Neurospora crassa OR74A: one gene and its partners. The protein of the gene in region 3 interacts with the protein of the main gene of each other region in a pairwise test. Links are inferred from orthologs where the notes say so. Each region holds a gene or a part of one and is shown on either strand. Other genes may lie near its edges.

The links.
Region 1: the proteins of NCU04485 (region 3) and NCU04439 interact in binary tests that used the Saccharomyces cerevisiae proteins (3 or more experiments, as listed by UniProt). The link is inferred for Neurospora crassa OR74A from reciprocal best matches to the Saccharomyces cerevisiae genes ESF1 and HCA4.
Region 2: the proteins of NCU04485 (region 3) and NCU08668 interact in binary tests that used the Saccharomyces cerevisiae proteins (3 or more experiments, as listed by UniProt). The link is inferred for Neurospora crassa OR74A from reciprocal best matches to the Saccharomyces cerevisiae genes ESF1 and ESF2.

The regions. Positions count from the first base shown.
Region 1 is NC_026504.1:3,353,406-3,360,429, reverse strand, and holds NCU04439 (ATP-dependent RNA helicase dbp-4), read right to left. Parts: upstream 4,429-7,024; 5' UTR 4,308-4,428; coding exon 4,161-4,307; intron 4,084-4,160; coding exon 1,759-4,083; 3' UTR 1,624-1,758; downstream 1-1,623. Other genes in the region: NCU04440 (hypothetical protein), read right to left, coding at 5,079-7,024. UniProt on the Saccharomyces cerevisiae protein: ATP-dependent RNA helicase required for ribosome biogenesis. Involved in the release of U14 snoRNA in pre-ribosomal complexes. Required for pre-rRNA cleavage at site A2.
Region 2 is NC_026504.1:4,158,621-4,164,852, reverse strand, and holds NCU08668 (pre-rRNA-processing protein esf-2), read right to left. Parts: upstream 3,541-6,232; 5' UTR 3,367-3,540; coding exon 2,802-3,366; intron 2,728-2,801; coding exon 2,270-2,727; 3' UTR 2,085-2,269; downstream 1-2,084. Other genes in the region: NCU08667 (hypothetical protein), read right to left, coding at 1-1,027; NCU08669 (betaine aldehyde dehydrogenase 2), read left to right, coding at 4,074-4,478, 4,538-5,422, 5,487-5,600. UniProt on the Saccharomyces cerevisiae protein: Involved in the small subunit (SSU) processome assembly and function, and in the 18S rRNA synthesis. Required for the early cleavages at sites A0, A1 and A2. Stimulates DBP8 RNA helicase ATPase activity.
Region 3 is NC_026504.1:3,202,510-3,209,537, forward strand, and holds NCU04485 (pre-rRNA processing protein Esf1), read left to right. Parts: upstream 1-2,980; 5' UTR 2,981-3,048; coding exon 3,049-5,211; 3' UTR 5,212-5,457; downstream 5,458-7,028. Other genes in the region: NCU04486 (hypothetical protein), read right to left, coding at 436-632, 704-812, 1,134-1,145; NCU04484 (hypothetical protein), read right to left, coding at 5,695-7,028. UniProt on the Saccharomyces cerevisiae protein: Involved in the 18S rRNA synthesis. Required for the early cleavages at sites A0, A1 and A2.

The DNA of each region.
Region 1 (7,024 bases), about 150 kb from region 3:
TTATAAGTACGAGTGGGCAGGGAAGCAGAGGACTTGGATGGTGACGCTATCATCAAGTACCTCTAGGTACCTCATCCAATGGGATTTGGCATAGCACGCAGTATGCAAGTGCCAACGAGCAGTACAAACAAGCAGACAGCCGGAGGACTCGCTCAACCCTGCGTGGAAAACCTGCTGAATGTTAGAATCTGCAGCTGATCTTGATGGACGCGCAAATATGACTACGGAAAAGGCACATGATTGTAAAGTGGTAATAAAAGATGACAACCGGAATTCAAGCCAGCCTACTTTTCTAGGAGGGAGTGCCGGTCAATAGACGCCAAGGTACGGAGTTTCAACGTTAACTTTGTGCCTTGATGAGAACGTATCAAGTACTTGAAGGCAGTAGAAAACTTGACTCGGCTTGGTCCAACTGATGTGATAAGGTATGGATAAGTATCTCCGATGATGCCTGATTTCCAGAGAAGTTGAAAATCAATGGCCCGAGTCTTTGCGGAATTGGAAATGTGCTAAAAAGCGTGCTGGTGTGCGGAAGACAGACAGAGGAGCATTTACAAGTAAGATGAAGCTGTACCAGTCATCTCGAACATCTGTTGACGGCGATAATTGCTGTCCAGGAAAACATCAGACAGCCTTACCAAGGGGTGTGTGGGTGTGTAAAAGACTGATCGCAACAAACGCGGCATCTTATCGTGAAGGGGCTATATCATGGATGCTTGCATCTCGTCCCGTCGTTCGTTTGACACAAGCCTCCCGTCAGTCGAGGGGAAGCACCTTAACTCTCCATTTCTCCTATTCCCCGCTACGGACCTCAGGCAGATGCCTTGAACGAGATGGCTTTGATCAGATACCTACCTAGACAACAACCAGTCTCTTGCAGAGAGTGTGCAAATAATTCAAGGGACGAAATATCATCATATGGGTTCCCTAGCAAGAGTGTTGATACTTAACTTACTCCGAACTGCTTGATCTGAGGCTTGAGCCTTACATATGCTGTGCCGACATTGCTACTTGTAAATGTCATACAACACCATCATGTTTATCGATTATTTTTTTCCCCCTTGAAGGATAGGTGGTGCGACGGAACGGCCAGTGTAGCTGACACCCAGGGTTGACATTAACCAGCCCGCTGTTGTTGCGAATCACTTGGAAGAAAAGGCATGTTCCCACGAGTGCGGAGAGATAGCTGGGTTACCTCACAGTTTCGCCTACGAAAAAAATGATTTCAGAGGAAAAGAGGACACAAAGAGAAGGTAGAGCATTTTCAAACTTTCAATAAATGAGAGGTAACGAACGACAGAAACAGATCAATCCCGCCTCAGATGGGGATGATCGAAGTATCAAATTTGACACCTTGACTTCTCTTCCAGGTTCTGGCCTGCTCCTTCATCCACAAATGATTGACGAAGGCGAAAACGGAAGCAGCCATCCATCCGAGTGTCCGGGGTGCTGTCCTGTGCTGGAAGGAGCGAGAGACATGCTTCAGAAACTTACGAAATGCTTCGTCCAGCCTTACAGTACCCCGAAATCTCGCCGCAAGCTGCTGGGAAAGGATGGATAGAGACTGGAGCTGGAAATGTATTCTACACGAAGGGAGCATAGTGGCATGGGACCGACCCTTTTGTCAAAATACGTGGTTTAGGTATCATAACAAGTCTAAAACTATCGCAAAATACGTATGTAAACATCCATGATTGGATGACGAACCCCGATATCTCTCCTTTTCCCACACCAACACCAACATTGAAAACCAACTCATCAATCCTCCAACAAGCCAGCGGCCAAAGCCTCCAAATCCTGCAAGTTATCCGGCTCATGATCCATCTCAATGACCTTCCTGCCGCCCTCCATCTTAGCCTTCTTCCTCCTCGGCCTGCCGTCATCGCTATACTCCGTATCCGAGTCATCCTTCTGGAACCACTTCTTAGCCTTCTTCTTAGGCGGTTCCCTATCGTCCTCGCTCTCGTCACCGCTGTCACCGCCCTTGCCAGCAACAGGCAAACTTCTGAGCAAAGCCAAAGGATCCTCCTCCACATCGCTGTGCGCGTCCAGCAGCGCCGGCTGCAGGGGACCCTTCTCCCTCTCGACCTCCTCTCCCCTCTCCCTTGCCTTGGCGCGCTCCCTCTTCTCCTTCCTCCGCTGCTTGGCCAGCAGCTTGTCTTCGACATCCTGCTCCTTGACCTTGGTGGCTTCGCTCTCGACGAACTTCTGCCTGAGCTCCTTGGCGTCGCCCTCCTTCTGGAAGTCCTCCTCGTCTTGCAGCTGGTAGAGCGGGTGGGCGTTTCCTTCGTCGTCAAACACAAGCTTCTGGCCCTTCTCCATGTACTTGAGCAGCTTCTTCTTGGACTTGAGCAGCTTCTCGCGACGGTGCGAGTCGATGACCAACTCGGCGTTCTTGCCCAGCTTGACCACCTTGGCCGTGCCGTCGGGGTTGGTGCCGGACTTGGCATTGCCGGCGGCGTCGTCGAGGGCGGCATCGTCGTCCAGCACGCGCTTGACCGAGAGGAAGTCGTCTTCCTCGTTGTCTTCTGCCTGATCTTCTCCGAGAAGCTTGCGGTAATGCGTCGACAAGACGTCCTGGTTTTGACGCTCGGCCATCTTGTCGTACTTTGTCCTGACCTCCTTCTTCTTCTTGCGGATCTCGCCGTCCGAGCCTTCGGTGTCGGACCCGCTGGACATGGCGGCGCGCGAGGCATTCTTGAGCTTCTTGACGTCCTCGCCCTTCTGGTATCTGATCTGTGGAGTACCTGGGAGACCCAGGCTGGAAGCAAAACCGTCGAGGTCGAGTTTGTCGAACTTGAACACCTCCTTATCCTTTTGCAGGTAAATCGAACGGACGTACGAGACGAAAGCCTTCTGTCCGAGGTATTTGAGATCGGGTGACTGGAAACACTGTGACTGTAGTTCGTTCTTGATGCTCTTCTTCTTGTTTTCTTTGACGTTCACTTTCTGGACGGTCACCTTCTTGTGCTCGAGACGCTTAAGGAAACCCTCTTCTTCGCTGGGGTCGAGGAACAAGACGGCGCGGCCCTTGCTCTCGTAACGCGCCGTTCTGCCGACGCGATGGATGTAGGTGTCGGCATCTTCAGGGCAATCGACCTGGATGACCCAGTCAACGGCGGGGAAATCGACACCTCTGGCCACGACATCGGTGGCGAAGAGGCAGGAGTATTTCGCGGACGTGAACCGGTTCGTGATCTCGAGACGTGCTATTTGTTTTTGGCGACCATGCAAATGTAGTAGTGGAATACCGGGCTGCATCCGCTTAAAACTTTCGTAGACGAATCTGACCTGCTTGCCGGAGGACATAAACACAATAATCTTGCTCTTGAGGTTCGTTCGTAGGAAGCCCCATAGCGTGTCGAGCTTCTCAGGGAGAGGTGTGACGATGTAATGCTGTTGGAGGCCGACGGGGGTCGCCGATGCTGCGGCTTCGTGAACAGAGACGTATTCGGGGTCCTTCAAGCTCAACCGGGCAAGGTCCGAGACACGCTTGCTTTGTGTGGCGCTAAACAGCAGGGTCTGCCTGCTCTTGGGAAGATGCTCAACAAGAGCGTCAACGGCCTGTTGGAAACCCATGTCCATGATGCGGTCGGCCTCATCAAGCACGAGCATCTGGAGGTTGTCGACATCGAAGCCGGCCGTTTGGTCGAGATGCTGCAGCATACGGCCAGGTGTGCAGACGAGGATATTCATGCGCCCAAGACGCTCCGCCTCCTCCTTCAAGCTCTTTCCACCAATGACCAAGCCTGCCGAAAAGCTGTGGTTGCGACCAATCTTCCTGAGAACTTCAAATATTTGGACGGCCAATTCACGGGTCGGGCTGATAATGAGGGCACCGAGACCGTCGTACTCAGTCCATCGTGCACGGTATAGCTTCTCGAGGACGGGAACAAGGAAGGCGAGGGTCTTGCCGCTACCTGTCCTAGCAGCGCCGAGGATATCTTGCCCTTTGAGCGCGAGAGGGATGGCGGCGCGTTGGACATCGGTTAGGACCTCGAAATGGGATGCGCGTAGTCCAGAGGCGGTAGGTTCGCAAAGGGGAAGGTCCGAGAACTTGTTGAGTTCGGTGGATTTGGGGTCCTAGTAGATTGAGACACAATATTTAGAAGCGTGTGCGGTTGTATGGTGAGAAACGGGGGTTCAGTACTAGGACTTACAAGTTCGTCGATTCTCTTCTGAAGCGCCTCGAGGTTCTCCAACTCTCTTTTCCTCTTCAACGTCTTGTGTTCGGCCTTGTTGGCTTTGGACCTCTCCTTCTCGGCTTTGCCCTTGCCACCGCGGCCTTTGGGGCCTCCTGGAGCCATTGTGTTTGTATCGTCTGAACGTGCTGGAAATTGGGCGTGGTGGGTTCGACGAAGTTCCAAAGGTCGGGTCTGCTAGTCGAGCGAATCCAATTGCCTGCGGGTCGTCGCTGGTGGCCTTTCAGTTCGATGCGAATGGGAAAACTTTTGGCGGAGAGCAATTCTGCCAGCTCGACCCACCTCATCCACTGTAAGCGAGGGGATCTGCAGCAGGGGTCTCGGACTCGCGGCCAGCTCAGACCAGGGTTAGGGTCATACGAGCAGACAGACGACCATCGAGTTGTCAGCCCCCAGTGACATTCTCAAGTCGTTGCTATGGTTCATGATGGGTTGGATGGGCAGTTGTACGGGGCTGAAGTAGAAAATTCACAGTAGCTTTTGCATCGAACCAAATTCGAATTGTAGTGGTTTTATCTCAGCGCCCACAACTTCAGCAATCTACATGTTTCACTTAGAACAGCAACATTCGAACATCAACACCGTGCCTGAGCAATGAAAAGAGCCAAACTATCATGAAAGCATAATGTATTGAACCACGAAAAAAATGAGCTTGAAGACGGGTATCGCTCGCTCACATGATTCCTTCGTAGGTAGACACCCGCAATAAAACCAACCCACTAGACCCACCCATATGTACGTTTCCCAAAGTTGAAAGCGATAAAAAAAAAAAAAAGGACCAAAACGCCTTGCCCCATTCCCAATTTCCTTGCTTTTCCCTTCAATACGTATTCGGTAGCTCAAGATCCGTCGCCCAGATACCCATTATCAATCCTGTTATTCCTCGCCCTCGTACTCTAATTCCTCCCCAAACAGTTTCAGGCGGTAAATGCATGTATGATCCAGGGCTCCATGGTTCGTCTTGGCTCTGACGACCACCTTGTACGTCGCCGCATCCAGATCGAGCAACTCCTCCGACAGCTTGTGGACAAACATGCCGTGGCTACCGCTGGTCTTGGCATAGTCGTACTCCAGCTCGCCGATCTTGACGTATTTTCTGTTGATGAGGGACAGCGATTTTTTGTTGTTTGCGTCGACCATCTTCATGTCAGCTTCGCGCTCGCCAGGGTACAACTCGTCCATCCAAGCCAGGAGTCGCTTGTTGTCGTCCGCGTCCGGATAGTATCCCCAAATCTCAATGTCTTTGGGCATGGACCCAGGGTCATTCGTCGCGTTCGGATGGACGTGCTCAACGACGATGGCTTGGGGAATGACATGTTTGGCCATCTCCACGGCGAGCTCGGCCCCCCTGCTGGCTGAGATGCCAGCGCACCAGCACTGGCCAACGTCGTTCCAGGCAGAGAGCGCCAGCATGTATTCTGCTTCCAGGGTGACCTTATCCTTGCTCGAAATGGGCTTCGGCTTGCCGAGCAGTTTGCTGAGGTGCTTGTTGCCTGGCAGTGCTTGCGACTCAAGTCGGTATACGGGGGATGATTCCGACAAGACGATACCAGCTTCATTGCCCAGGCCGAAATGATTGACTTGAGTTTCAACGTAGTCGTGGTAGTTGCGCATGATGCCGTCCTTAGCGGCTGCTTCAAGTTGCGCCCGAGGAATCTCCTTCTTGACAATATTCCTAACCAAGGTGGTGATTTCGGACTTGGAAAGACTGCCTTCGGAGTTGGAGATGGCCGCCTTGACCGTAGTGTCGATGAGTGTCTCAAGCCCTTTCTTGACGGAATCCAATTGACCATCAATCTCCTCCTTGTGTTCTGCAATCCTTTTCTTCAAGAGGCCCACAAACTCATCTCGGCTGATGGCTGCGTCACGCGTGACCCCATCGCCTTTGTCGCCTGGTAGATGCTCCTTGACAACCTGGGCAACCTTTTCCCCGTTCTTGGTTACCCAACGTTCCCAAGATTTGGAAACAGTGCCTTCAGCAATCTGCAAGATATGCTCATCCGATGGGCCCTTCTCGAAAAGTCCGGCTTTGATGAGGCGCGGCCGTAGTGCGTCCCAATGCTCTTCGGAAATGTCACCAGTGCCGTCAAGCGTGAGAACCGAGCTGTCCTTGAGCATCTTATCCAGAAGAGCATGCCAAAAATCGTCCTGAATGATGAGATCGCCGTTTGGACCACGTTTAACGTGCACCATCCGGGGAAGAAGAGTTTGGATGTTTTTGACAGCACTCTCCGTAGAAGAAGATTGTTCAAGGATAAAGTCCTTCAAGTCATTAAACTGATCATCCGTTAGCTGCGGATGACTGGGGATGAACTGCCCGACGTTGCTCCTCCAGTGCTTCCAGCCATACCATCGGATGCTGGTATTCGCATCCGGCGAACCATAAGAAGACGCGGTTAAGACTATCAGACCGATGAGGAGCACTGGTACAAGGAATGTGAACAGCTTCCACACGCCCCATGTCGAACGGCGAATCAAACTCAGTAATCGTTGCACGAAGGTAGGAGGAGCAGTAGTATACGGAGGAGGCGGTGTTTCCACGTTGGTGGTATTTGACTGTTCGGCTCGCGGCCTGGATGTTTGGTTTGGTCTTGCAGCTGTGGGCTTGGACACCTTGCCAAAGGACGGATACTGTTTGTCAGACATGGATTTCGCCTCTGTGTCGAACAAGTCTTGGTGTTGATCGACTTGATGGGAAGGAGGTTGGAGAGAATTGGAGAGGGTTGACGCTGGTCGCCTTGCGATTCTGGGTGGTTCTGGAGGCTCTGGGGTATATCGGGCTAATCGCTTTTGTTGAGCCATTCGCACCTCTTCTTCGAGCA
Region 2 (6,232 bases), about 960 kb from region 3:
CCCCCAGCGTCTCGGCAGTCATCATCAGCCGAGCGGACACGGTGGCAGGGAAGCGGAGGAGGTGTGCATTGGAGAGGTAGTCTTCTGTTTTGGCGTTTAGGAGGGGACGTGGACGGGGACGGATTATCGGTGGGGAAGTGGCTTGCGGGGATTGGGGAGGTTCGGGGTCGCATTGATTTTCGTGCTGAGGGGATTGAGTTGGAGAGGAAGAGCGAGAGGAAGAAGAAGAAGAAGAAGAAGAAGAGGTAGGGAACACTGGGGATATGGTCGAAGGAGGAGGAGGAAGAGGGAAGTTGGTGATATCCAAGGGAGAGGGGATTCCGCGACGGAGGATTGGACTAGGTGAGCGGTAGCGACGTGGAGAGTGCAACGACCCAGCAATCGGAGAAGAGGGGATGCTGGTGTTCGGAGTTGGACTGGGTGAAGAAGTGGAGAATGACCGGGACAGAGAAAGACAGCGGTATCGATCTTGACCGCGGAGGGGGCTAATAGTAGGCGAGGAAAGCGGTGTAGGTGTGGAGGGTCTGGTTCGGATGTCCGTGATCTCGTCGTCGTCATCGGAGGCGTTGCTATCCTCAAGATGATTGCTGTCATTTACCGGCGCTGCTGACGAAGAAAATGAATAACAAGAGAATCTATCCTCTGATTCTGGGGACCTCAGCTTGCAAGAAGTTTCCAACACCCAATGAGAGAACCACTCGGCATACCATTCCTCGAATTCAGGGGTTGAGGAATGGCTGGTAGCAGGTTGAACTGACTCTTGATCCCCATCTTGTGAGTGACCGCACCTTGAGCCAACGGTCGAGAAGCAGTCCTCAGGACGCAGCGAGTAATCACTTCCCTCGCTACTCACAAACGAAATAGCGGAAGACGACCTAGAGGTACTCTCCGTAACACTTGCTGCGCTCGCCCTCTCCCAAGTTGAAGCCACCGCTTCTTTCTCCCTCCGCTCACGGTGTTCGGCCAACAGGATTTTGGCCATCACCTTCCACCACATATCTTTGACCTCCTCCCTTGTCTTGAACATTCGGTCTGCTGGCGTCGGATCTTCATTTATCTCCTTGCTGTTATGGTCGGGGTTGGCAACACTCTGTGCAGATGGGGTCGCTGGCGGTGTTGACGAGATTGGCCATTCTAATAGCTTCTGCGAGTTTGACTGTTTGTCGTTTGGGGCAAAGGGGTAAAAGGTTGGTGCTCTTAGCCCAAGACGTGATCCGAAGGTAGAGCCCATAGGATTGGCTTGTGTGTCCCAGAACCACCGGTAGAGGGAGGCGAGGGGTCCGTAGATAAACCTTTGCCAGTAGAAGCTGAAAATTTCGCGGAGTCTGGACAAGCAGTCACTGGTTACTGGTAAGATGCTAACTGTCCTTGGCTGGAAAAGCACAAGGTCCGATTTTGTTGGGGGCGGAGGAGAAGGGGAAACAGATCGAGGAGTCGCTTCTCGCTCGAGAGAGGGGTTTCTTGACCAAAGTAGGGGTGTTTGAGTTGCCGAACTGATGGTTTCATTTGATGCTGAGGATGTGCTACTCGAAAACCACCTGGGTGAAGATGTGGTCATTTCCAGGCTCTCATCCTGAGACGAGCCACGCCCAGCACAGCAACTAGGTTTCAAAAGGTATATATGTTCCCACAGGGTACAGCCATCCTCGACCGTTTGAATACATGCATGGAAGAACTTGTGCATCTGATCTTCACTCAAATAACGACAAGAGCGGTCTTGGCGGATATGCCCGATGATATAGTTTGACCAGGACGTATATTGGAGTATGGTGTCCAGGCGACGTTTTGAGAAATGTTCGCAACCTTCCTCATCTACGTCAAGCATACGCTGGATGAGTCCTTGAAGTATGCGAAGGGCGTAAGTCGGGTGAGTCGTTAAATATGATCCCCTTTTGACAGCATTTGCGACAGGACAATTGGTGAAGTTGTATCGAGTGTTGACCGTATCGTCAGGGGCACTCTTCCTCGTGGCTGGGATTTGGAATGTGCTCATGGTGGGCCAATTAAACCAAACGCCGGCCGGTTTCTGTGCAGCGTCGATAAGTAGGGATATGACAAAGTGACGGAAATGGAGATGCTCTCATAGCAAAAGGAAATCAGGTTGGGTATCAAGATGACTGAAGGCAGAAAAATATATACAATTGCCTAAGGGAAAGAAAATCAACACCACCCATCTCTAATGTCTCGGAGTCGCTTTGACGACAGAAATCCCACAGGTACATGAACGCTCCGTGTCTCAAACCTATTGTTCGGGGGCCAAACGAGAAGGTTAAAAGATCTTGCTGAGCACTCTTTGTACTTGCTCGGGCTGTGTCTCATCGAGCTTCCTCTTCTTGGCCAAGGGTATTTGCTTGAATGTTCTCCTCTTATCGTCGTTTGTTGTCGTCGTCGTCGTTGCCGCCGCCGAGGGAATAGTAGATTCTGTGACTTGGGCGGCACCCTCACCGCCCGCTTTGCTGCCCTTGGACGCCTTCTTTGCCTGAATGCCCTGCAGCACCTTGGCCCTCTCCACGTTGCGGACGAACTCCTTGTTTTCTTTGGTTGTCTTGGAGATTTCGGCGCGCATTCTGCTGGATCGCTCGGCGTTCTCAGCAGCGATTTGTTCGGTCAGGTTGTGCCACTTGAAACCCTTGAGGTAGAGCAAGTTCCAGATATCGTCGCGGTAGTAGGATCCCTTCTTGCCTCCGATTGGACGGGCATTGAGGAGTTCGCATGCCTTTTTGGCGTCTGCAAACAAACGGGTTTTCTTGTTAGCGTCTTTGTACTTGGGTCTCAGCGAGTCTCACGGAATGAAGACCTACCCTTCTTCTTGACAAACTCAATCCAGCCTTCTGTAAACATCTTCTTTTTATTGCCTCCGCTGCGAATGCGCTTGCGTCGCGCAACTGGGTCCTCGGGGGCCAGGAAAATGCGATTCAACTTTCCGTACGGCTCCAGCAGGGAGCGCAACTTGGCAGGAGTCATGAAAGGTGGTACCCTGGAGATGTACACCACTCCCGACTTCTTGATGGCCTCCTCCGTGACGATGAGATTCTTCTTTGTGAGAGGCTTCGTCATGCCCGGAAGGTCACTCGCTAGTACCGACTTCTTCTCCTTCTCCTTCTTTCCATCCTTCTTTTCCTTTCCATCTGTTGTTTCCTGGCCGTCCTTTGCAGGTGCATCCTTGCTTTCAGCATCATCTTGGTCGTGTTCCTCCTCTGCGTCGGTAAAGTCGTCGGCTTCGCTGTCCTCGTCATCGCTCACTCTTCTGCGCTTGGCGTTACGGCCACCCTTTTGGAAATCATCCTCCGAGTCAGAACCGTGGCCCGCATCGTCGTCGCTATCGCCAGCATCGAGGAACTTGTTTCTGACATCGTCCTCCGGCATTGTCGATGGATGATTGACTTGTGTTTCTAATTGGTGGACTTTTTGTTGTATGCTGAAAGTTTCGTAGGTTGAATGATTGGGTCGTTATGGGGAGATTTAGGGCAGTCGGGTGTTTGTTTGCGTTGGAGAAGGATCACGACGCGATTCGCAAGTCTTCTTTTGGCGTGGAAGCGCTGGACGGACATGGCTGCTGCTGTTTCTCAAAATTTCTGGCTCCACTGGGGGCCACAGGCAGGAAGGGACCGTGCACGCAGGGCCGATAAGAGATAACAAAGTATGAATGGGAATGGAAGTTCAGGTTGGCTGATCCCGTCCCCGCCTTAGGTTCCTTCCGAGGTGGAGTTCATACACTGCAGACCCGACCCCGCGCTGCCAACAACTCTTTATCTTATCAAAGCTCCCCCGGCCTGCCGCCGAGAAACGGAGCGGGAGCCACTCTGTGTGCGGCAGTGTGATGTCGTGTTCCTGTTTGTTAGTGAGACGGCGACGGGAGGGGCGACATGGTGTCATTGGGTCATGGGAATCAAGTCGGTTTGCTCTTTTCTTCTTGTGGAAGGTATAACGAATTATAGTACTAAGTACTAGAGTAACTGAACTGTGTCTTTTCTTTCCCTTTGACTCGCTCTTCCTCCTTGTGACAACCAACACTGCATCCCACTTCACCATCCTTATCACTCGATACCTGGCCGATAAGCCTACTTGTAACAATGTCGGTCGAGGTGATCACCACCATCTCTCCCACCACGGGGGAACCCATCATCACTCGCAATGGCATTTCAGAGGAGGAACTCGTCCAACTGCCCGAGACTGCCTTCAAGGCCTTCCAAGGATGGCGCACTACCAAGTTGGAGGACAGACAGATCATCGTCAAGAAGGCCTTGAAGTTGCTGGCCGAGAAGCAGGATGAACTTGCAGAGGAACTCACCGTCCAGATGGGCCGCCCCATTGCTTATACTGCCAAGGAGGTTGCCACTGCCATCAAGCGCTCAGAGTATCTGCTCAAGATCAGCAACGATGCTCTGAAGGACACCGATGGCGAGGAGGAGAAGGGATTCAAGAGGTTCATCCGAAAGGTGCCTGTTGGTCCTGTTCTCATCATCTTTGCTTGGAACGTAAGTGGTGTCCATCATGTTGTTTTGACACTCCATCCGTCACCTCTAACTTTGCGCAGTACCCCTATCTTATTCTCGTCAACGCCTTGATTCCCGCTTTATTGTCTGGAAATTCGGTCATTCTCAAGCCCTCGCCTCAGACACCCACAATTGTCGAGCAGGTGGCCAAGGTGTTTTCCGAGGCTGGGTTGCCCGACGGAGTCATCCAGTACTTCCACTCGGGTTCGCCGACAGTGATTGAAACAATTGTGCGAAACCCCAAGATTGCCAACATTTGCTTTACCGGCTCGGTTGCTGGTGGCCTGGCCGTCCAGAAGGCCGCGTCCGATCGCATCGTCAACGTCGGCCTCGAGCTGGGTGGCAAGGATCCTGCATATGTTCGCGGTGATGTCGATATTGCCTGGGCTGCCGAAGAGATTGTCGACGGCGCAGTTTTCAACTCGGGTCAAAGCTGCTGCTCGATTGAGCGAGTGTACGTTGACGAGAAGATTCACGACGAGTTTATTGCGGCCGTCCAGAACGTTCTTAAGGGATACAAGCTTGGAGATCCGTTGGATAAAGGGACGCATCTCGGCCCAGTCATCTCGGCGCGCTCCAAGGAGACCATCCAGGCACACATCAAGGACGCGCTCGACAAGGGCGCCAAGAATGCGACACCCGAGAATGAGACATTCAGCATTCTGCCAGACAAAGGTAACTTTGTCGCACCGACATTGCTGACCGGCGTGGATCACACCATGACCGTTATGAAGGACGAGACTTTTGGTCCCGTCATTCCAGTCATGAAGGTCAAGAGCGATGCCGAGGCAATTCAGTTGATGAACGACAGCGAATTTGGCCTCACTGCCAGTATTTGGACCAAGGACACGGCCAAGGGATACGAACTCGCCGAGGAAGTAGAGGCAGGGACAGTTTTCGTGAACCGTTGCGATTTTCCCAGCCCTGTAAGTACTTTTGTGTCCTGCGACAACAATCAACCACCTCGTTTCACTGACGCGCATCTCTCAGGATCTGGCCTGGACTGGTTGGAAGAACTCGGGCAAGGGTCAAACGTTGAGCAAGTACGGCTTCGACCAGTTCGTCAAGTTGAAGAGCTACCACCTGAAGGACTATCCCAAATAGAGTTTCGGGACGCCCTGCCGCCCGATTTTCGACGCAAGGAGGCACAAATCGTCAATAAGGGAGGTATTCGGGCGCGTGCGCGCTGCATATCATCAGCAATAGATAGTCTTTCCCTGTTACCTGTTATTGAACGAATCCAAGACACCAGCCTTTTCTGCTTCAGGGATGTCTCAAAGAGATCCCACGTCAATTGTTCCGCATTCCAAGGCTCTCATCCAAAACCTAAGCGAGGGGCGTCGCCGGGCTCATGCTTTTCCTCATTCCTCTTTCCTTCCATCTTCTTCTCGTCTATTCGTCTATTCACGATCCTTCACTTCACCCGCGGCCCTTTGAGGGTATCAATGTCAATTCTTGTCTGCCCTGGCCAAGGGAACACGTTCCTGAAGCCTAACCGAGTTGGGTTCGACGATCCGATGCGGCGGTAGTATATCTTCTTTGACCTCTCTCTTGGGTTCCCGGGAAGTGTGGTCCTCTTCAGGCAATCCTCTCTTTGAGCCCGGATTCATACTTCAGAAGGGCTAAACTGCCGAGCCGCACTGGGTTGTCACCAGCGAAGGCCAGCAGAGAAGTCAATGGGCCACTTGGACGGGCTTGCCACTCCTTTGTCTTTCTGATCATTCACTCTTGTTTTT
Region 3 (7,028 bases):
GTTAAAATCATCTGCTGGCCTTCAACTTCTCGTAGGCCTCATTCCATTAGGGCTGTAGTAAGCAAACGACGAAAGCCGTCGACGCAATGACTAACGTCATGATCCTTTCCGAAGCTAGATGCATGTTCCCGATGAAGCGAGAGCATTTTCCTGGGAACTGGCTCATGAAGTGACAAAACAGATGGCGAGATAGAAACACCGAGGGTTTCCCAGGTATAGCCAGTATAGCCAAAAGTACGGCTGCTTCAATAACTCGACTTCCCGGGAGAGATACGCCTACTCAAAGTGATAACGAGCAAGGGCTGACTCAATGCGGACCAGAAAATGACAGAGACCGATTATGTTATGACATTCTTGAATCCGACCCACGCAACAAATTTCCAAACTAGCATGTTAATACGGTCGACACTTGTCTGATGATGTTTTATCTTCTCCTCAAATCTCGTCCCTTCCGCAACCCGACATCAGACACTCGGCACTGGAGATGCCAGTGACGAGCAATCCGCCACCTTGAACAACTCCGTTGACAATTGCGGCACCATATCCGCCCATTGCAGCGCTCTGCGCAATGGCAAAGGGACTGCCAGCGACAACATTGCCGATTACGCCCTGAGCTATGGCTGCAGCAGAGCCTGCTTTGTATCAGCACTTGATCTCCGACCACAACGGCTTAGATTGCGCTTCGTATGTAGGTGACACTGACCAGCAACAGGCCCCGCAGCACCGAATCCCAATACGGCGAGAATGGGTGCGGTAACTATCGCGGGTGCAGCGACAGCGGCTAGCCCAGCAACGACAGGAATCAAAGGAATCTTGAGGGCATGGTCAGCTCTGGCAGAAGCAGGGAAGGGAGTAAAAAGGCAGCAGTGTACCATCTTGAGAAGGGTTTTGTGCAGTGTTGAGTACGTTAAGCTTTTCTTTCGGTTTTTCTGGAATAGAGGCAGGATAAACCGGCGACTTTGGGATGATTCAAGTTGCCGTTGTTCATCTTAGGACCTGGATACTTGAGTCTTGCGCGGGAATTTATAGAGAGTCAGTTCTGTGACACCACTTGGTGTCTTCCTACATAATTGTTGTACATATGATGCAGCTAAAGTCAATCTTCGTTTTCACGAACAAAATCGTTTACATACAGACGGAAACATGAGAGGCCTGCCGAAACGTAGAGAAAGGTTACTGGTGTCGCTGTTCGTAGGCAAACGCTGTACGCATGTTGAGGCCTGGGTATAAGTTGTCGATGTGTCGGCCGCGTGATGGCAACCTGGAAGAATGCTTGGTGTTTCGATTGGTGACGATGTTGGTACCTGCAGCGCAAACGCGAGATTCAACCGTCCTCTGCCGGCTCCTGCTCCCGGGAGTACCTACTTAAAGTAACTGTGGTTGCGAGCCAAAGTAAAACCCTTTGTCAAGTACCGAGCATGACCCACCACAAGCAAAGCTTCGTGGCTTTGTATAGGGCACTGTGTGATCAGCGATCGCGAGCAACCTGGCCCACGGGTTTTGGTTACCCTGCTCACCGTATCGGGTGTGTGCATAGTGCAGTAGTAATGAGTCTCGGGTGTGTAGCCGCTCACGGGAAGTCAGCCAGGGGCAAGCGACGCTGGCACGGCCGGGAATGTGGTTGACAGAGGTCTCGAATGTCGTTGATGGCTTCGAGTCAATGTCGCGTCCCAAACAGCTGGGCAGGATGAAGAATACAAACACCCAAATCCGGACTCTGTGGTTCACTCTGTTGATGAAGAAAGGCGTGCTCGGTGTCTCACGTGATGCAGGCATTGTTGATGCTTCTCGCTTGTGAAAATGCCAAGAACATCATCGACATCTGATTTAGGGTTTTCCGGGGTTGTGTTGGCAAGGCATGCGGAGTCGATGACACCCGGAGAGGCATTCCGGAGCTCAGTCCTAGGGACATTCGCCTCGACTCCCGCCTTGGTAACCCCACCTGACCATCACCAAGGATCTCTTTCCTGGTTGAGCGCAAACAAAGAACAGCTTGGACTTGGTCCGGAAGTTGTGTAATGATGATTGCCCCTGAAGTGAGGAACGAATAGTGGTGGGCCATTGATTCTCGGATGGGGACCAAAGAACAATTATAAGTCTTGTTCGGACGCCCTTCATCTTTTGGACTCGCCATCCAACCCTCATTAACCATCCGGTTCATATCTCAGGATCCCACGTCCCAGACACATCCTTAACAACCCATCCGATAACGCGGCACTGTCGACCAGGTTCTTCCAACTTATACAAACCATGAATCTGGAGAGCTACTCACGACTCATTTCCTCCGACCAAGACGAAGACGTCAAGGCAGAGAATAGGGCTTGCACAACGCTATTGTCGCTCTTGATGCTTGTTGGGATCCTTACGTTGGGCGCAACGATGTGGCATGGGAACAGTTAAAGAACTGAAACCTGCGTAACATCTTCGGTAGGTAGTCAATCCGCGAACACTGTCAATTCATGCGATATCAGTCGTCCTAACGAGTGGAAGGTCCAGATTCGATGACCAGCGACAGCGACAGCGGACAGGACTGGATGGCCGATCGGTGGGTGGGTGACGTCGAATGGGAGTTCTCTGGTCATAAGTTGAAGGACGGCCGATGAGGCATGCGATGACAGGATTATACGTTGGATTCCGAATGACGGACAAGTTGATACCCGAATTTGTTGGATTGGATGGTCGAGGACAATCATCGACGGGATTGCTGGAGGACGATGGCGTTTTTGGAGTTTTTCGAGGTTGAACAGCCCTGCGCTGACAGCGTCAGTGGACTTTGGCTTTTGACGGAGTTTTTAGCGGGCTCCATTTGCTGCATGCCAGGGCACCAATGCGGGGAAGTGGATTGATCCATAGCACAGGACTTGGCGTTTTAGGTGGGGCACCTTGACATTAGCATGTGCAGACCGCCTTTGGCAGAATCAACAACGCTCCACTAAAATTTTCTCGGACTTTGCGTGCTGTGCACATGTCGGGTCGAATCTGCGAGTTTCCTTGCTGCCGTCGAATCCTCGATTTTGGATCGCATCAGTCACCATCTCCACATCCACCATGCCCAAAGATAACAAGCCTAAAAAGCGCGATGGCGCTCCTGCGATTACCGATGCTCGCTTTGCCAACTTCGAGACCGACCCGCGATTCCAGCTGCCCTCAAAAAAGAACCTAAAGACCAAGCTCGACAAGCGTTTCTCCAAGGTTCTCAAAGATGCAGAGTTCACCGCCGTCGCAAAGGTCGACAGGTACGGCCGCAAGCTAAAGACCGACACCAAGAAGAAGGCTTTGGAACGGCTGTACGAGGATGAGAGCGAGGACGCCACAGACAACGAGGCCAAAGAGAAGGCCAGCAAGGGAAAGAAGGACGAAGCGGAAGACGAGAGCGACTTCGAGGTCGAGGACGACGACATTGTTCAGCGCGAACTCGAGGCTGCCAACTCATACGACCCTGCCCGTGGCGGCGGTTTTTCTTCATCCGATGACGACTCCGACTCCGACTCCTCAGATTCCGAAGACGAAAAGCCAGAGGTGGAAGACGAGGCTGATGCGGAAACACGACCCGGTATCCGCTTGCGCAAGGATAAGGAGGCTGTTGAGGAAGGCGAGATCACAAACAGAGTTGCCATCGTCAACATTGACTGGGACCATATCAAGTCGATCGATCTATTCGCCCTCTTCTCGAGCTTCGTGCCCCCAGGTGGTCGCATCGAGAAGGTATCTGTCTACCCTAGCGAGTTCGGCAAGCAGAGGATGCAAAGAGAAGAGCTGGAGGGTCCTCCCCAGGAGATCTTCAAGAAGAAGAGTGACTCCGATTCCGACAGTGACTCGGAGGACTCTGATTCGGACGAGGCCATCAAGAAGGAGCTTCTTGAGGAAGGAGACGACCAGGACTTTGACAGTGACGCCCTTCGCACTTATCAGCTCGACAGGTTACGTTACTACTACGCCGTTATGGTTTGCTCCGACAAGAACACAGCATACAAGATCTACGAGGCGACGGATGGCAACGAGTATCTTTCTTCTTCCAACTTCCTCGACTTGCGATTTGTCCCCGACGATGTCACGTTCGACGACGAACCCAGAGACGAGTGCGACAGCGTCCCTGCGGGGTACAAGCCGGTGGAGTTCGTGACCGATGCTCTCCAGCATTCCAAGGTCAAACTCACCTGGGATACGAACCCCGAAGATTACTCAAGAAAAGAAGCTCTCAAGAAGGCCTTCACCGGTAGCCGCAACGATATCGCCGAGAACGACTTGCGCGCTTACCTTGCGAGCGACAGCTCAGACGACGAGGAGGACGAGGAGGAGAAGGAGCAGTTCGAGGCCGAGGGGGCCGCTGCCGAGGAAGCAGAAGAGGAAAAGACACTGTCCAAGAAGGAGCTTGCCAGGCGCAAGATGCGCGCTGCTCTTGGTCTTGCTGACGAGCCCGTGGTAAAGTCCAAGAAGGATACTCCGGTGGGCGAGATGCAAATCACCTTCACGCCAGCACTATCCGCCAACGACAAGAAGAAGGGTGACGAAGATAGGGAGGAGACGACCATCGAGAAGTACAAGCGCAAGGAGCGCGAGAGAAAGGAGAGGAAGCGGCAGGAGATGCTTGCTAGGAGGGAAGGTCGCGATCCCAACGCCGCTCCTCAGCAGGAGGAAGAGCAAGGCGACCAAGGCGAAGATCTCGGTTTCGACGATCCATTCTTCACTGCTGAGCCTGTGGTGCCTTCCAAGACGGCGATTCGCAAAGAGGAGAGGCTCAAGAAGAAGGCTGAGAGGGAAGCTGAGGAGGCTGCCAACGCCGCCGAGAAGGCACAGCTGGAGCTGCTTATGGCTGATGAAAACGGTGACAGTGGCCGTCTCGATCACTTCGACATGAAGCAGATCGCCAAGGTCGAGAAGGTCAAGGGCAAGAAGAAGGGCAAGAAGGGCAAGAAGGGCGTGGAGGGCAACGATGGTCTCCAGGAAGAGTTCGCCATGGACGTCGAGGATCCTCGTTTCAAGGCCGTTTTCGAGAGCCACGAGTTCGCTATTGATCCCTCTAATCCTAAGTTCACGGCTACTCAGGGTATGAAGAAGCTTCTTGAGGAGGGCAGAAAGAAGCGCAAGGATGGACCCAGTGTTACGGAGAAGAGTGAGAAGAGCGCCAAGAAGGTCAAGACTGACGACGCGGATATCGATGGTCTGATCAACTCTGTCAAGAGGAAGGCGAAGGCGAAGGCGAAGAAATGATTGCATCACGGGTAACAGCATATTAATGGCAAGTTTTTGATTTCTGTTGGTTCACATCCATCTGTCGTTCCTCCACTGTCCAGTCTTGTAAATGGTCCTTGGGTCAATGTGGTTTAAATTCAGGTCATGTAGGGTTGCTCCCTTTGTCTTTAATGATCGTCCCCTTTTGTGGATGAGGACAGAACCACGTACAGCTACCTCGCAACTCTTTTCCACTTCACAATGGCGGCCATAATATGTGGTACTCGAGGTCCATCAGTTCCTCATGGCCATGTAAGTTGGAGCTTTTGTTGTCGAGATGTTTGCCTTTACCTTTCTTAATCTCTCTCCCCGAGGAAATAACTCTGTGTGTCTGGCAAAACCCCTGGAAAGACACTGGGCCTCCGACATTCTTCCCTCGACAATTGTGTTCGTCTTATCCATAGCTACCTCTTTTCATCGTCCTTCGAGGTTTGCAAGCGATTCTCAACCTCCGGCCAGTCGTCAAGGTTCCTCCGTCAGATCCACAACCGGAACCTCTTCCCCTCCCATCTCCACCGGCAGCCACTCCTCCACATCATCCCTCGTTCTCTTCTTGCCTGTAGACTCCTTTTGCTGGGCCACAGTAGCCACACTCTTTTCTTCGACTTGCTCGGTCTTGACGACTTTCGTTGGCTTGGAAGAAGCCACTTTGCGTTCGCTCTGTCCCTCACTGCCATCATCCTGTGTCTCTTCGATCTTTTGGTCCACTGCGGCACCATCGTTGCAGTCAGCGTCAGGCATATCGATATCCTCCGTCGTAATTGTCGTTGTTTTGTTCTTTGGTGTCTGTTTCTTCTTCTCGCTGGTGATGATACCGCTTTCGTCTCGCTGCCTGCTGTGTCTAGCCTCCACCACGGACTCCTCTCCTTTGCCATTCGATACCATGTCGCCAACAACAAGATGACCCAACTTTTCCAAATCCTCAACAACAATATCCGGCTGCTGCTCGCCCGCCGTCTTGTCTTCACACCTGGTAACCCAGCAAGCCGTTGCTCCAATAGCCCTTGCCAGGCCAAGGTATTGCTTTGAGCAGCAGGCAAAGAGAACCTCGTCTTTTCGCATTTCCGGGGAATCGGCCGCCACTGTACCTACTTTCACGTCCGTTCCCTTGCTGGCATTACCTTCACCGCCGTCCGAATTTGCCTCCTTGGCGATGGCGATCTGAGGCGTGATAAATCCAGGCAAAATGTCACCTTTCCAAACCCTCGCAACCGCCTCCCCCTCAATACCAGAAGCATAAATCCCACCCACCACCACCACAGCCGCTGTCGCTCCACCTACTGCTGCCGCCTGTCTTCCTTGACCCTGATATCCCCTAGCCCCTTTACCAGCAGCCGTGACACCCATGCGTCTCATCAGTTCTTGGATAATCTTTACGCCCGGTGCCGGCGTTGCAGGCTGCTGCTGCTGCTGCTGCTTCTGCTGCTTCTTCTTTTTGCTCTTCTTCCCATCTTTGTCTCCGTCTGTGCTTGAGGTCTGCTCAGGTGAAGAAGAAGAAGAAGATTCAAAGCCATCCTGCGCGATGAGAATAACCACGTTAACGTCCTGCTGCTTCATCTGCTTGGCGAAGGGCTCTAGGTCCGGGTAAATGTCAAATTCGGAGAGGAATTCGTGGGTGTAGTGGAGGTAGGCCTGTGTCCAGAGGGCGATTGCGTGTTGGTAGTCGTATTGTTGTTCCTCTTGTGTGGGTGTGCTTGGGTCCATGACTTTGGCTTTGCCTTTACCTTTATCTTTGGAGCTTGATTTGGTGGTGTCTGAGTTGGCTGCTTCTGCTGCAGCAGCAGAAGAGGAGTCCG